4 separate regions of the Mus musculus genome follow, and regions 2, 3 and 4 are each reported to be linked to region 1. Evidence: microRNA targets listed by miRTarBase, many of them from high-throughput screens and not tested one by one. Region 1 holds a microRNA gene; each other region holds the end of a gene's coding sequence.

Evidence for each region. Region 1 holds the annotated microRNA mmu-miR-149-5p (UCUGGCUCCGUGUCUUCACUCCC, at 1,477-1,499, opposite strand). A microRNA usually pairs through its seed, bases 2 to 8, with sites in the 3' UTR of a target mRNA and lowers its output. Matches are read on the target gene's strand: a 7mer-m8 pairs with bases 2 to 8, a 7mer-A1 pairs with bases 2 to 7 and ends in A, and an 8mer does both.
Region 2: the mRNA of Spred3 is a reported target of mmu-miR-149-5p. Seed matches in the 3' UTR shown: 7mer-m8 at 1,265-1,271 and 7mer-m8 at 2,957-2,963.
Region 3: miRTarBase lists Elovl5 as a target of mmu-miR-149-5p. Seed matches in the 3' UTR shown: 7mer-m8 at 971-977.
Region 4: the mRNA of Plpp3 is a reported target of mmu-miR-149-5p. Seed matches in the 3' UTR shown: 8mer at 1,570-1,577.

What each region holds. Positions count from the first base shown.
Region 1 is chr1:92,848,850-92,851,879 of GRCm38, reverse strand. It overlaps Mir149 (microRNA 149), which reads right to left and starts at 1,502; the gene lies at 1,437-1,502. All of the region lies in intron 1 of Gpc1 (glypican 1), which reads right to left.
Region 2 is chr7:29,158,994-29,162,023 of GRCm38, reverse strand. Spred3 (sprouty-related EVH1 domain containing 3) reads left to right here. Exons shown (of 6, transcript NM_182927.3): 6 at 1-3,030. The coding sequence ends at 498. Among named protein-coding and RNA genes, the nearest start is that of Fam98c, 4.3 kb to the right of the region's middle.
Region 3 is chr9:77,982,202-77,985,231 of GRCm38, reverse strand. It overlaps Elovl5 (ELOVL family member 5, elongation of long chain fatty acids (yeast)), which reads right to left. Exons shown (of 8, transcript NM_134255.3): 8 at 713-2,567. The coding sequence ends at 2,424. Among named protein-coding and RNA genes, the nearest start is that of Gm34829, 4.1 kb to the left of the region's middle.
Region 4 is chr4:105,230,490-105,233,519 of GRCm38, reverse strand. Plpp3 (phospholipid phosphatase 3) reads right to left here. Exons shown (of 6, transcript NM_080555.2): 6 at 753-2,623. The coding sequence ends at 2,498. Among named protein-coding and RNA genes, the nearest start is that of Plpp3, 75 kb to the right of the region's middle.

The DNA of each region.
Region 1 (3,030 bases):
AAGGAGAGATTCTGAGGTTGCATTCACCCTTAAGAGCTTGTTACATGATCACATCCTTGTCTTTAGCACTTAGTAAGCACAAGCATTTATGTGTGCTGGATGGTGTGTGTGTGTGTGTGTGTGTGTGTGTGTGTGTGTGTGTGCATATTGCAGAGTGGAACTGTGTACAGCCTCTGTGATTTTGACCTGACATGGAAGGTATATATCCCCAGATGCCACCCCTCCATCCCTAGGTAGGGCAACCTTCAGATCTGCTCTTCCAGGTCTCAGGTTGAGGGCCTGGCCTAGCCCTTCTCCTGCTTACTAAGGCATGGGAGCTGTGCTTCATCCCAGAACCCTGGGGACTTTTGGCCTCACAGGCTGAGTCCCACCTGGTTTCAGGGTCCCCAAAGGTCCACAGAGCAGGGCAGTGGCTGACAGCTGGTAGAAGAACAGAAGGAATTGTATTCTGATTCAAGGGTGCTTGGGGGAGTCAAGAGAAAAGGGAGTCAGAGATGGGAGGTGCACACGGAATGCCCCTCCCACCACTCCCCTACCTGGTACCCTCTGCTCCTACCACACTGCTTCCTCCTGCCCAGGGCACCTGCCTTTCACAGGGACTGCAGGTCCTGGGAAGCAACATGTTATTAAGCACCCAACCTCAAGAAAGGGCTGGGTTGGTGCCCAGACAGCTGGGAGCTGCAAGCCTAGGTCCTGCCACTTGATCTGCATCCATTGATTGATTCCCTTCCTTCTAGAGTAGGGAGGGCTAAGCAGAGATTATCCACCCGCAAGCAGGCTACAGGCACAACAAGGTACAGGGCCCAGCAGGGCCTTCTATTTGCTCTGCTCCGGGCCATGGTCTGCTGGGCTGAGGTGATATGCCACATCTCTCTCTTTGAGTGGTGGGGTTTAAGGGTTTTTCTGTTAGAGGAGGAATCATGGGGGGCACTGTAGAGGATGACCCATCTCTGACTTCAGCAGTGAGTGGGGAAACAGCTATGGGGATGGAGGCTGCAGGTATCAGGATGGGGCCATCCTGGGCTCAGCTGGGACAGAGGCACTCTGTGTGTGTAGGCCAAAGGTTTTAGGTGGAAATATTGAGGACCAGGCTGCACAACAGAGCACTGGCAAGAGAGAGGTGGGCACAGCCTTACTGGCCCCTCCCATGGTTTCTGCTCCTCTGACATCCTTCTCCATCTTAGTGGTCCCAATTGCCACCCCTCACCACATAGACAGAAGAACGAAGCTGAAACAGGAAGAAGTTAATTAAGGACACACACTCAGAAACAGAAACTCGCCCCACTCCACGGCAGGTTCTGGATAAATGGGACCCATGAGACTTTTGGCCAGCTACTATGAGCATACCCCATCCAATGGCCTCCCCTGCAGCCCCCTGGCTCTGCCTGGCCACCTCACCCAGCCAGCCCGGTGACCTGCGCTGTTCCAGTTGCCCCAGCACCGCCCCCGTCCCTCCCTCCCTCCTCGGACAAACACGGGAGTGAAGACACGGAGCCAGAGCCTGGGCACTGGCCTGAGGGCCCCGGGCAGGCTGGGTCAGGCTGCCCAGAAGCCCATGCATTGGCAGACCTGCTTGCTGAGGGTCAAAGATAGAGGAGCTGAGACCCAGCCCAACTGGAACCATAGGTGCTCAACATCAGAACAGCTAAGGCAGGCTCTGCAAAGCTCTCTACACTTCCAGGAAAGCACTGGAGTACATACCCATCGTAGGAACGTCTCTCCGTTCTACCCTACCAGCAGCTTCCTCCTTGCCAGCCCTGAAGGTGGGTGGGAGTGGAGCGGCAGTATTGTTCCCCACTGACCCCGCCCATCTCTCTCAGAGTTGGTTTCATTTTTCCAGATCTTTCCCTCCTGGGTTTTTGGGGGGCACTACCCTCCCCTGGCACTCACAGGTTTTATTTGGGGAAGGGGGTTGTTTGTTAATGGCAGGTTTTCCCCACTTTAGTCCCTTTTCTAAGCCTTGTCCCCAACCCCAAAGCCTCTCAAATTCCAAGACCCCTGCTTCTTGTGACACTTAGCATGGCACCCCATTGCAGCAAACCCATGGGCAGCAACTGCTCATTTACCTCCTCCCAAATCTGGCTGCTTGCACCCCACCCCCGGCCCCCCACTATTCTCCAGAGCAGACAGCAGCTTGTGGCTTCCTACCTTTCAGGGTCACACCCTCCTGCCACCTGCTGACAGCTCCAGCTCCTGCTCCTCCCTCACAGAGGCAGCATCCCTCTTGGTCATCATCCACAGTCACCCCAGGACTTTAGCAGAGTCCAGCATCCTGATGCTACCCACAGACATCTCTGACCTGACCTCCCCTGACACTTCAGGGACCCAATGCCTTGAAACCCTCCACCTTCTGAAGATAATGCAGAGTCATGCTACCCCGCCTCTGGTCCATTCTTCTAGAAGCTTCCTGTGCTCACGGGGGAGATGCAGAGTGGAAAGCCCACTTCCCTCACGGCCCCTAAAACACTCCAGCTGGCACGGCTTGGGGGAGTGTAGGGGCATTCGGAGTATAATCTCTCAGCACCGCAGATAAGGGAGAGGCACAGGCTACACTCCCCTCCCCAGCTGCTGGCTCCTAGAGCAGGCCTTTCTGTTGACTGGTAGGTTAGAAGTAAACCAGCCCTCTGTGCTCCTGGGTTTTCCAGCCCCAGAGGCTGAGAGTCTCCAGGACGTGACAGCCTGGAGCAAATGGCCCAGCTTTCTGGGGGACTACTCACTGCCCAGGCTCCAGGGGCATTTTCCCATTGCTTGCTCCTGTTCCCCAACAAACCTGTCTAGTCCCCGGGGGTCACACCCGAAGGAAGACATTTCAACTCCATCTCTGAAATTGGAAAAGCATCAAGCACAATCCCCTCCCCGCCCCCACCTCACTCCCAATACTTTTCCACCCTCCTGGATGCCTTCATGATTCCCGAGCCCCTGCCTCCGGTTCACCCAAATGGCAACATCACCAAGAAGAACCTCCATCACGAACAGGGACCCCCTAACTGGGGGGCATCGGCTGCTGGCACTTCTATGGACTCGATGGGA
Region 2 (3,030 bases), not on the chromosome of region 1:
GCATTGCGGGGTGCAGCCCTGGGTCCTCCAGTGTCACTCCCTGCCCCTCTCACAGAGGCTGCACCCCCAGCACCCCCTGCTCGTCCACCCCCAGGTCCAGGCCCCACCCCTGCTCCAGCCAAAGCCTCCCCAGAGGCTGAGGAGGCTGCACGCTGTGTGCACTGCCGAGCACTCTTCCGCCGCCGGGCAGATGGGCGTGGTGGTCGCTGCGCAGAGGCCCCTGACCCAGGTCGCCTGCTAGTGCGCCGGCTCAGCTGCTTGTGGTGTGCCGAGAGCTTGCTGTACCACTGCCTGTCAGACGCCGAGGGTGACTTCTCGGACCCGTGTGCTTGTGAGCCAGGCCACCCACGCCCTGCTGCGCGCTGGGCTGCTCTGGCTGCTCTGTCTCTGGCAGTGCCCTGTCTCTGTTGTTATGCGCCCCTGCGCGCCTGTCACTGGGTTGCAGCACGTTGTGGCTGTGCGGGCTGTGGGGGTCGCCACGAGGAGGCTGCACGGTGAGGATTGTTGAGCTGGTTTGGAAATCGGTCTGAAGACCCAAAAATTGAAGGTCCAGGACCCTGAACAGCATATGAACCTAAAACCCAAACTTAGGTATATCTGGAACTTGAATGGATTTGAGAGATCCCAGATCTGGTACCTGGACCCCAAACTGAGGACTGAGATACCGAGGCCCTGCTTCATCAGGGTGTCTGCCCACCCGAAGTCCTGAATTCTGGATTCTCCATACCTTTTCCCCACTGAGAAGACTTAGAATATTTTCAAACATTGCATCTCAAGGGGCCCAGGAGCTCACATCTTGGACCCTGACTCTGTCTAAATGCCCAACCCAGACTTCAGGTCATACTTGACATTGTAAACACTCATCTTACGGCCCCCAAACTAGTCAAGAGTTACTCAAACTTGACACTATTATCAAATGACTTAGACCTTGAGACCAGAGGACCCAGAATCACCAGAAAATGGTCCCTGAATTTTCACCTGAGACCTGGTATCTTCACATTTAGATGCTCTTATAGCCCCAGGATGGTTTGGAATCACCAGATACTGGCCTGAACTCTACCCGCTCCTGAGAGTCCACAGACATTGCCATCAGTTCATGTGCAAGTGACCCGCAAATTCCCTAGCACCCCAGATTTAAAATGTATTAACTCCTTAGATATCCTCACATATGAGGTATTTTCAGACCAAAATTACTTGGGAGGCTCTTTTCAGAGCTCAGCAAGGTCCAGATATCAGATACCAAGATGCTGGGGGGGGGGGGGGGGAGCCAGGCTCCAAACACCTACTCCTTAAGCCAGCCATGAGAATTTGAGTCTTGTGGATGGGCTCTGAGATGCCTGGTATCCTTAAATGTCTGCCTGAAGGCCACCTGCACTTTGGGCCCAACACACTGGTTTGTAGAGATTAGCTAACCTTCCGGTTTCCCTTAGGCCTGAATTTTAAAATATTCTGGAAACATCGGCTTCCTTCTGCCTACACTCCCCTTCCACCACGTTGGGTGGAAGCCTGGAACTTAGAAGATGCGGTGGTCATGGTAACCCAGGTCCTTCATTCCTTGACTCTCAGCCCGAGAGCAAATCCAAAGGGCTTTATGAGCCCTGGATCTAAGACCCAAGATGCCATTGGACCCTGGGTGCAGGAGTCAAGCCCTCACAATTTTGGGATTGGTTTTGGCCTGACACCTTGATCCCTTCAGACCAGAGACATTCAGCAACAAGATGCCACAGTCTTTCAGCACCGTTAGGCTCCAGGTGTTCTTGAATTCAAAGTACTTGTAGACTAATGAAGCCCCCATTTCCTCACTACCTGATTTCCCCGTCTCCCATGTCCTGCCATCCAGAGGCCCATAAAACTGAAATGCCCTAGCAATGCCCAGACTCCCACCCCCACCCCCTTTATCCTAGGGCAGGGTACTTAAGCCAGTGTAAATTCAGATTCCTGGAATCCGGGATCACCTAGCAGTTTCCCCTTTCCCCTCTCTAGGGCCTGGCTTTGCTATGGAAGATTGTGTGCTGTCAGCTCAGCAGAGGCAGGCAGCTACAGGGATCAAGCAGAGACCGCAGAAGGCCTACCCTTTGCACACCTGTAATTCCGGGGCCAGCAATTGATCCCCAGAAGACCCACCCCCACCCCAACCTTGCAGATTTCCCACACTATAACCCCTAGTACATTCAGGTCCCTCCCCTGTGAACCTCTTCCATCTCAGTTGGGGGTTGCTCTGAAAAGCTCAGTATTGTTTTGTAGTACTTCCCCATGGAGAAGAGAGGAGCCACAGCCTCTTTTCCCTAAGTAGAGACACTAGGATCAGGTGTCCTGGATAGGAGAACTAAGATTTCAGAGCCAAAGTCTTGATGGTTCATGGGCTTAGGACCTACATCTGGCCCTAAGTACCTGGGAATGTACACTTGAATCATTTTTCATTACCCAGACTTGGGTGGCCTTGTGGGGGTTCAAGGGATGAATATTTGTGTCACTTCCTTTAAATTATTAACTATTTATTGTATCCGGAACCTGTGATTCAGCTCCCCCAAGCAGATCCTGGGATGGGTGAGAGAAAATGGGGAAAGAGGGTGTCCCTCCCATCCCCCTTCTGCCCAGCTCTCATCAATTGTCAGACCCACCAGAGCTGAGGGCAGAGGGACTGGGGGCTGGGGCAGCCTGCGTCCCCATCCTCTCTTTGTGCCTCGGTCTCCCCCCCTTCCATGGTAAGCGGGGGAAGCTCCATTCTTAACCTACCTCGTTTTGGGAAGGGGTGGGGAGGGGGACCAGAGTGCTGTATGGTGCTGTGAGATCTTCGGATTAAGCAGTGGGGACTTGGGGAAGGTTCCCTAGTCCCCCATCTCCAGTACCCCCTCTCCCAGGTCCCCTTGCCCTGTTCCTTGTCGATACCCACCTCTGATCCATGATTACCTTTCATTGCCCCCATATCTGGGGTGCATGGAGGACTGAACCCTGGGAGCCAGGAAGACCTCAGATCCTAGAGCTCCCGAGCCCAATTTTCCAGCTGCTTGCCCCCCAGACCTTGGGGGA
Region 3 (3,030 bases), not on the chromosome of region 1:
GGAGCGTGCTCAGAGGTGAACCCTCTAGCAGGGGTGCAGGGGAGGAGCTAGGGTTGTTGGAAGACACTGAGATTTATGCTCTGGGGTCCTCTGCCATGGGAGGTGATAGCAATTCTTGGTTGCCAGCTTGACCACATGCAGAACTGACTACAACTCAAACTGACTACGCCAGTGCTGGATTTTGTTCCTTAATCATCTGAAGTGGGAAGACCCACTTGAGATCTGGATCTCTGAGGTAGAAACCCACCTTTAATCCAGGCCCTACCTGCTGCTGGCAGCCTCTCTCTAAACAGGACAGAGAAGAAGGAAGCCCTCTTCTCTTTGCCTGCTTGTTCTCACTCTTGCTAGTGAGTCCACTCAAGCAAATCCTTCGCTGGCATTCGACGCGACTGCTCTGGAACCCGTGTTTCCTGAAGAGCAGCTGAGACATTTAGCCTCGTGGACTAAACAGCTACTGGATCCTTGGATCCTCTGTCTGTAGATAGCCTTGTTGGACTAGCTGGACCACAACCTGTAAGCCATTCTAATAAATCCTCCCCCCACCCCCACACTCATTCTATGAGTTCTGTTTCTCTAGAGAGCCCCCAACTGATACAACCACTTTCCACGCTACATTACTCATGTCCACTCCCTAAGCTCCTACAAGGTGACAGAGTTGACCATCCTGCAGTCTTTCAGAACTGTCAGCACATCAAACAACAGAAGACACAGCACGGGTAATCAAAAAGGTTTTAATGATTAATGTTTAGACATTATTTAACAGTGTGGGTATATCCAGATGAGCTAAGCACACTTTGACAGCACACTATCAAATGTTATAATTTTTGTATTGAGATATGTAAAGACACCTGCAGACGGGTACCTAGGGAGAAGACACACACATACACACATTCTAGATCTGACAAGGGAAATGTAAACAGATGCCGCAACTCCTTCCAAACAGAAAACCCACAAGGCTAATTAGGACCAACTGGCTCCTTGTAATATGAATGTGCAAAATTAAAGCATGGTAAACTGGTATTTACATAAATATCAAACCCACAATTAGTTTATACATTGTCAATCATCTCCTAAGATGTGCCATGAGTGGTTCCATGGATTTTTTACCAATGCAGAAGGTATTCAAAGGCTAAGCTTTCAACACTTTAAAAATGACACACATGAAAAGAGTCCCCATTTGTATGACCGATGCCTCGAGCGCACTAGACACGATTTTAGGATAAGCAGTCCAAGCACTTTAAACCGATCTTTAGGTGCTAATCAGAAAAAAATTACAGATGCCACCATGATTCACACTGAAAAAAGCGGTTGCTCCCAAACACCCAGTTCCTGCGCGCTCCAGCTCTTAAATTTTACCTCAAAATGCTTATGGTGCTTCCTGGTCTCTTGGTAAATTAGGCACATTTTAAAAGGAAGTGTATGTCAAAGTAGCACTACAGAAAAGAATAAAAAAAAATGTGGACCCAGGTAACCAGTCCCTTATCACTGTGTGTGTGTGTGTGTGTGTCTGTCAGATAATAAATGTCTCGTCACCTTTCCTGAAAGGTAGTTCTCTCTCTCCAAGTGGTGGGAAGTCGAATGGCCTTTTTATCTCCTGTATAAAAACACTAAGCACTTCAGAAGTGAAAAGTGACCTACTCTTATAGTCACCCTAGCCTCTGGGGGACCAGGGACAGGTACGTAAGTGTCTCCAGACGCTTTGGACCCTTTCCCCACCTCTTTAAACACATTAATAGTGGCACTCAAAATAAAAAAATAAGATCTGTTAAAAAGTTAAACTGACTGTTCCACTAGACTTGAACCTGCTTATTTAAAGCCATCGTTATAAAACCAAGGGTGCCATCAGATTTCGCATCTCCAAGTCACTTGAAGTTACACATCACACACTTGTTTCATAAATCATACATTTGATTTTTCTAAACAGAGCTAATACAAATGAATAATACAAAGTTGAAACATACCCTAATTAAACTAACAAGCTCTGGGCCCTGCTTTTTTAAGTCTTAAGGCATGTGTGTTTTTCTACTGTTAACAACATTGTACAAATTTACAATCACATGCATGGTCTACAGTTAAAAAAAAAAAGTTTGGATTACAGTGTTTTAAATTGTGAACCACAATTCAGCACCTATCGTGTTACAACTAATAAGGCAACAGCAGTGTTGTATACTACAAGAACATTCCCTTTCCACAGTCTAGCGCGGGGGTCGATGAGAGCCCAGAAATGTGAGAAAATCGTATGCCTACTTTGTATAATCTGTATACATATTCTAGGGGTTTTGAACTGATGAAGAAGGTCCTACATGAGTCACACTGCAGATAGTAGGGCCAGACTAGTGACAGCAGCTGCTATGAGCGTCAGGGCACAAGTCACGCTGTGCTTACAATCACACGCCGCGGTCTGGAGGCTTCGGCTCGGCTTGTCAATCCTTTCGCTGCTTCCTGGGCTTCACGCTGTTTTCCAGGGAAGGGAAGCTGTTGGTGTGTCCGTTGACGGCGGCCACAGACCCGTTCTGGTGGCCCTTCAGGTGGTCTTTCCTCCGAGAGGCCCCTTTCTTGTTGTAAGTCTGAAATGTACAAGGCGAATCAGTGCCTGCTAACCAGATGAACTGTACCGGTCTGTATCTCACTAGGCCTGGTTTCCTGGTCTGATCAGTCTCACCACGTATTTCCTGTGCTCAAATAACCACTTTATGTTCAATCACCCTTGCGACTTTTTGAGGCTTAGCTCAGAGGTTCTGACCCCCTAGACCACAACAGAAACACTTAGAACACCGAGTTTCTGTTCATTCGGCTTTGCCTCTTCAGGATGTGGATGGTGGAGCAATGGCCTAGGGGACCAAACTGGCTTCTCCTCCTGGCTAGTAGCCACTCTACATCACAAGCCATTACTTATCTTTATGTTTTTCTTATTGCCTCAGTAACCATCATGTACAGTACAATGGGCACCAGGAGCAATTGGAAGAAGGTCCTATTATCAGGCCCCGGCAAAGCAGGAGTCAACAAGTCACACAAAGCTACGTCGGGGGC
Region 4 (3,030 bases), not on the chromosome of region 1:
GCCTCGGAAACTACATAAGGCAAGTGCTCCTAAGAGCCTACCGCCCAGGAAGGTAACAGATTCGTGTTGTCTCGAGTCACCTAGTTGCAGTAATTTGTAATTATTATTACAGCAGCAAAAATAAGCTAATGTAAGGCCTGTCCTGCAACCTACTGACCGGCTCTTAGAAAAGTTACATCGTCTGCATCCCACAGCATCCCTCCTTGCTCAAGCTAAGAACTGTGTTGGGATGTAAAGGAACATCCAGATAGAACTGTCTGGCACACAGGTGCACAACACTCCTGAGTTTCCAGCTTCCCTTTTCCTTCTAGGTGGTGGCAGTGGGGGTGGTGCGGGTGGTCACACAAGGCAGGAGAGCAGGAACCCAATGCCCTGTCAATACAGAAACCCCTTCCTTTGAATATAGGCTGTGGGAAAGACTCTCCCTCAAGTTCCCCAAGCCCATCTTATCTAGGGAAGTCTCCATATCTATCTTTTGGGGACCCAGAGCTCCCACCTCCCCCATGAAAACACTGCAGAGTACAAAAGACCCTTTTAAGAGGCTGGAGGTGAGAGTCAGCCTCCAGGATCGCTCTGCAAACAGGCTTCAGAGATGAAAGGACAGCTTCTACATCTGCCTCCATCATGGCCACTGAACAATCAGGAACTGGTGCCCCATTAAGGTAAGCCCACTCAGGAGACCCCACGGTCACACCCCACCCTCCTCTCCGCAGATCCCAAAGAAACATCCTTTTAACAGCTCAGGCACCAGTGCCTTGGTTAGTTGTGTTATGAGCTTTTATTTAAAAAGCACATTTAATACATGTTTAGTTTCTCAGATACACTTTTTTTTTTTACTTTGTATGCCACAAAAGTGTTTGAATATTATTCTCTTTACAAAACGGAATCTTACAAAAATACTGACAATTTAATGTTTTTATACAGTTTTTTTTCTCTAGTTGCAGTTATTTCATTGTAAAACAATGGCTACCACAGAACTATATCTTTAGTTGAGATTAAAAAAAAACAAAACAAAACAAAACCAAAGAACTCAATGCTCCTTTAAGCAGCTAATGTAAATAACACAGGTCGAGACACAGTTTATAATCATAGTGGATATAACTAAAACTGTTTCAGAAATAATATCTTACATAGTTAACTTTTAATGTTTTATACAATATTTATATAATATTTATATATAAAATCATAGCTTGCTATATGTTGAAATGAAAGGACGGAGTCTGGGAGGGTGTAGATGTGGTCATTCCAGATGGTTACATGTAGCCCTTTGAAAGATTTGAAAAGCACTTCTTCTTTTCCTTCTTCTTTTCCTTGGAGGTTCAGTAGAAGGGTCCTTGTCTACTGTCTAGAGGGGGACCTTGCTTGGAAGGACACTTGTGGATGGAGGATGAGGAAAACTCTCTACACAGATTTAACCCATGTGTTCTGCCCAGCAGAACCCACCAAGAACTGCCCCAGGGGTCAACCCCGGGACAATAGTGCTCTACACAGCAAGATCAACTCCTGCAAAGACCCTCGGGGCTCCCTTATCTTGAAGGGTAGCCTTTTGGGCACGAGACCCTCTGCTACTCTGGCTCTCTCTGATCCCAAGGAGCCAAAAAATGTTGGTTCATTTTTTTTCATTCTGCCCTTTCTCTCTCTCCTTGTCTCTTTACTGAGGCTCTTTCAATCAGCCAAAGATTGACCAGGTCTGTGCATCCCTGGCCCTCACATGAAATCCTGGTCGGCATCCAGCAAGGATCTCAAGGGGAATATAGCAGTAACCAAAGTCTACAGGTTTCTACATGTGCAAGTGCCTGGTGATTGACCCTGCAATGGCAGTTCCTCGTCACAGTGTGGTGTGTGAGAAGACACCCTCTGTGTCTTCTGAACTTGTGCTATTTGTGAAGTTCACTCTTCCACAAAGGGTCTCCTAATCTCTAAAAGTGAGGGGCTGTGGTTGTTAGCCTGGGGATGGGGAGATGACAGAGGCCTCAGGTCTTGGGGGTTGGGATTCAGGATCTGATCACGGGACTGAAAAATTGTGTGCCCATTCCCGGAATTTTGAGGCACACACACACACACACACACAAACTTCCTTGAATCAAAGTCACAGTAGAGTGGGGCGGGCAGAGGGGCTGATTCGGTGCTGGTTCGAGCCTTGTGTGCTACATAAGAGCTCCAGCTGTTCTGGCCTGGGATTTCTCGGGTCACAAAAGATGACCCCAGCCTCTGCTCAATTATTCTAGTGTTTTGCTCCTTGACAAGCCCGTGCTCACTAGAACATGAACACTTAACTGGCTGCACAGCCAGCACTCAGGACTCCCGCACTGTTGTCTCCACACAGGCAAACAACCTATTTTGGAAGGCCACAAGATAAGGCTTTTTTTTTTTTTTTTTAAATGTTTTCAAAATCCATCGGGCAAAAGCTTTTCCCTACATTCTACTGTCTGATGAGATCGGAGAGCAGCAGGAACGTGCAGTCGCTTCAGAGAAAGCGCTCCGGAGGCCGCAGCATCTACACCATGTTATGGTGATTGTTCCTGTCGATGATGTCCACGGGAGACAGGATCTCCCTCCTGATCGCAGGGGCGGGCAGTGAGAGGCTCGTCTTAGTCTTGAAGAGGTCGGACACGAAGAACACCTAGGGCGCGAATCAGAGATCCAAGTCAGTAAATGCCTAGTGTGGCCCAGGAACAGGCGACAAACACAGACGGTTGGCAAAGAGGGCCCGAATCTCAGCTTTTTAACTGGCGGAGGTCATACAGGAATCACGGTGCAGAGAGGGAAACTGAGGCAATGACTTGCCTGGGCTACGAAAGAGCAAACCCTACTTTTCTCAAGGCCTACGTGTCATGGCAGATAAATTCCACAGAAGGGACATGCTCATCACTGCTCAGCTATTAACCCACACTCCTCTCCTTTTCCTGACAAAGAAATCCAGAGTGAGGCCAAAGGTGAGATGGGCCAGTGCAAACTCTGACCAGCAGGAGCCGGAACAAGAAGAGGCACGGTGAGTATATTTTCCCGAAAGCCCTATGATATCAACCA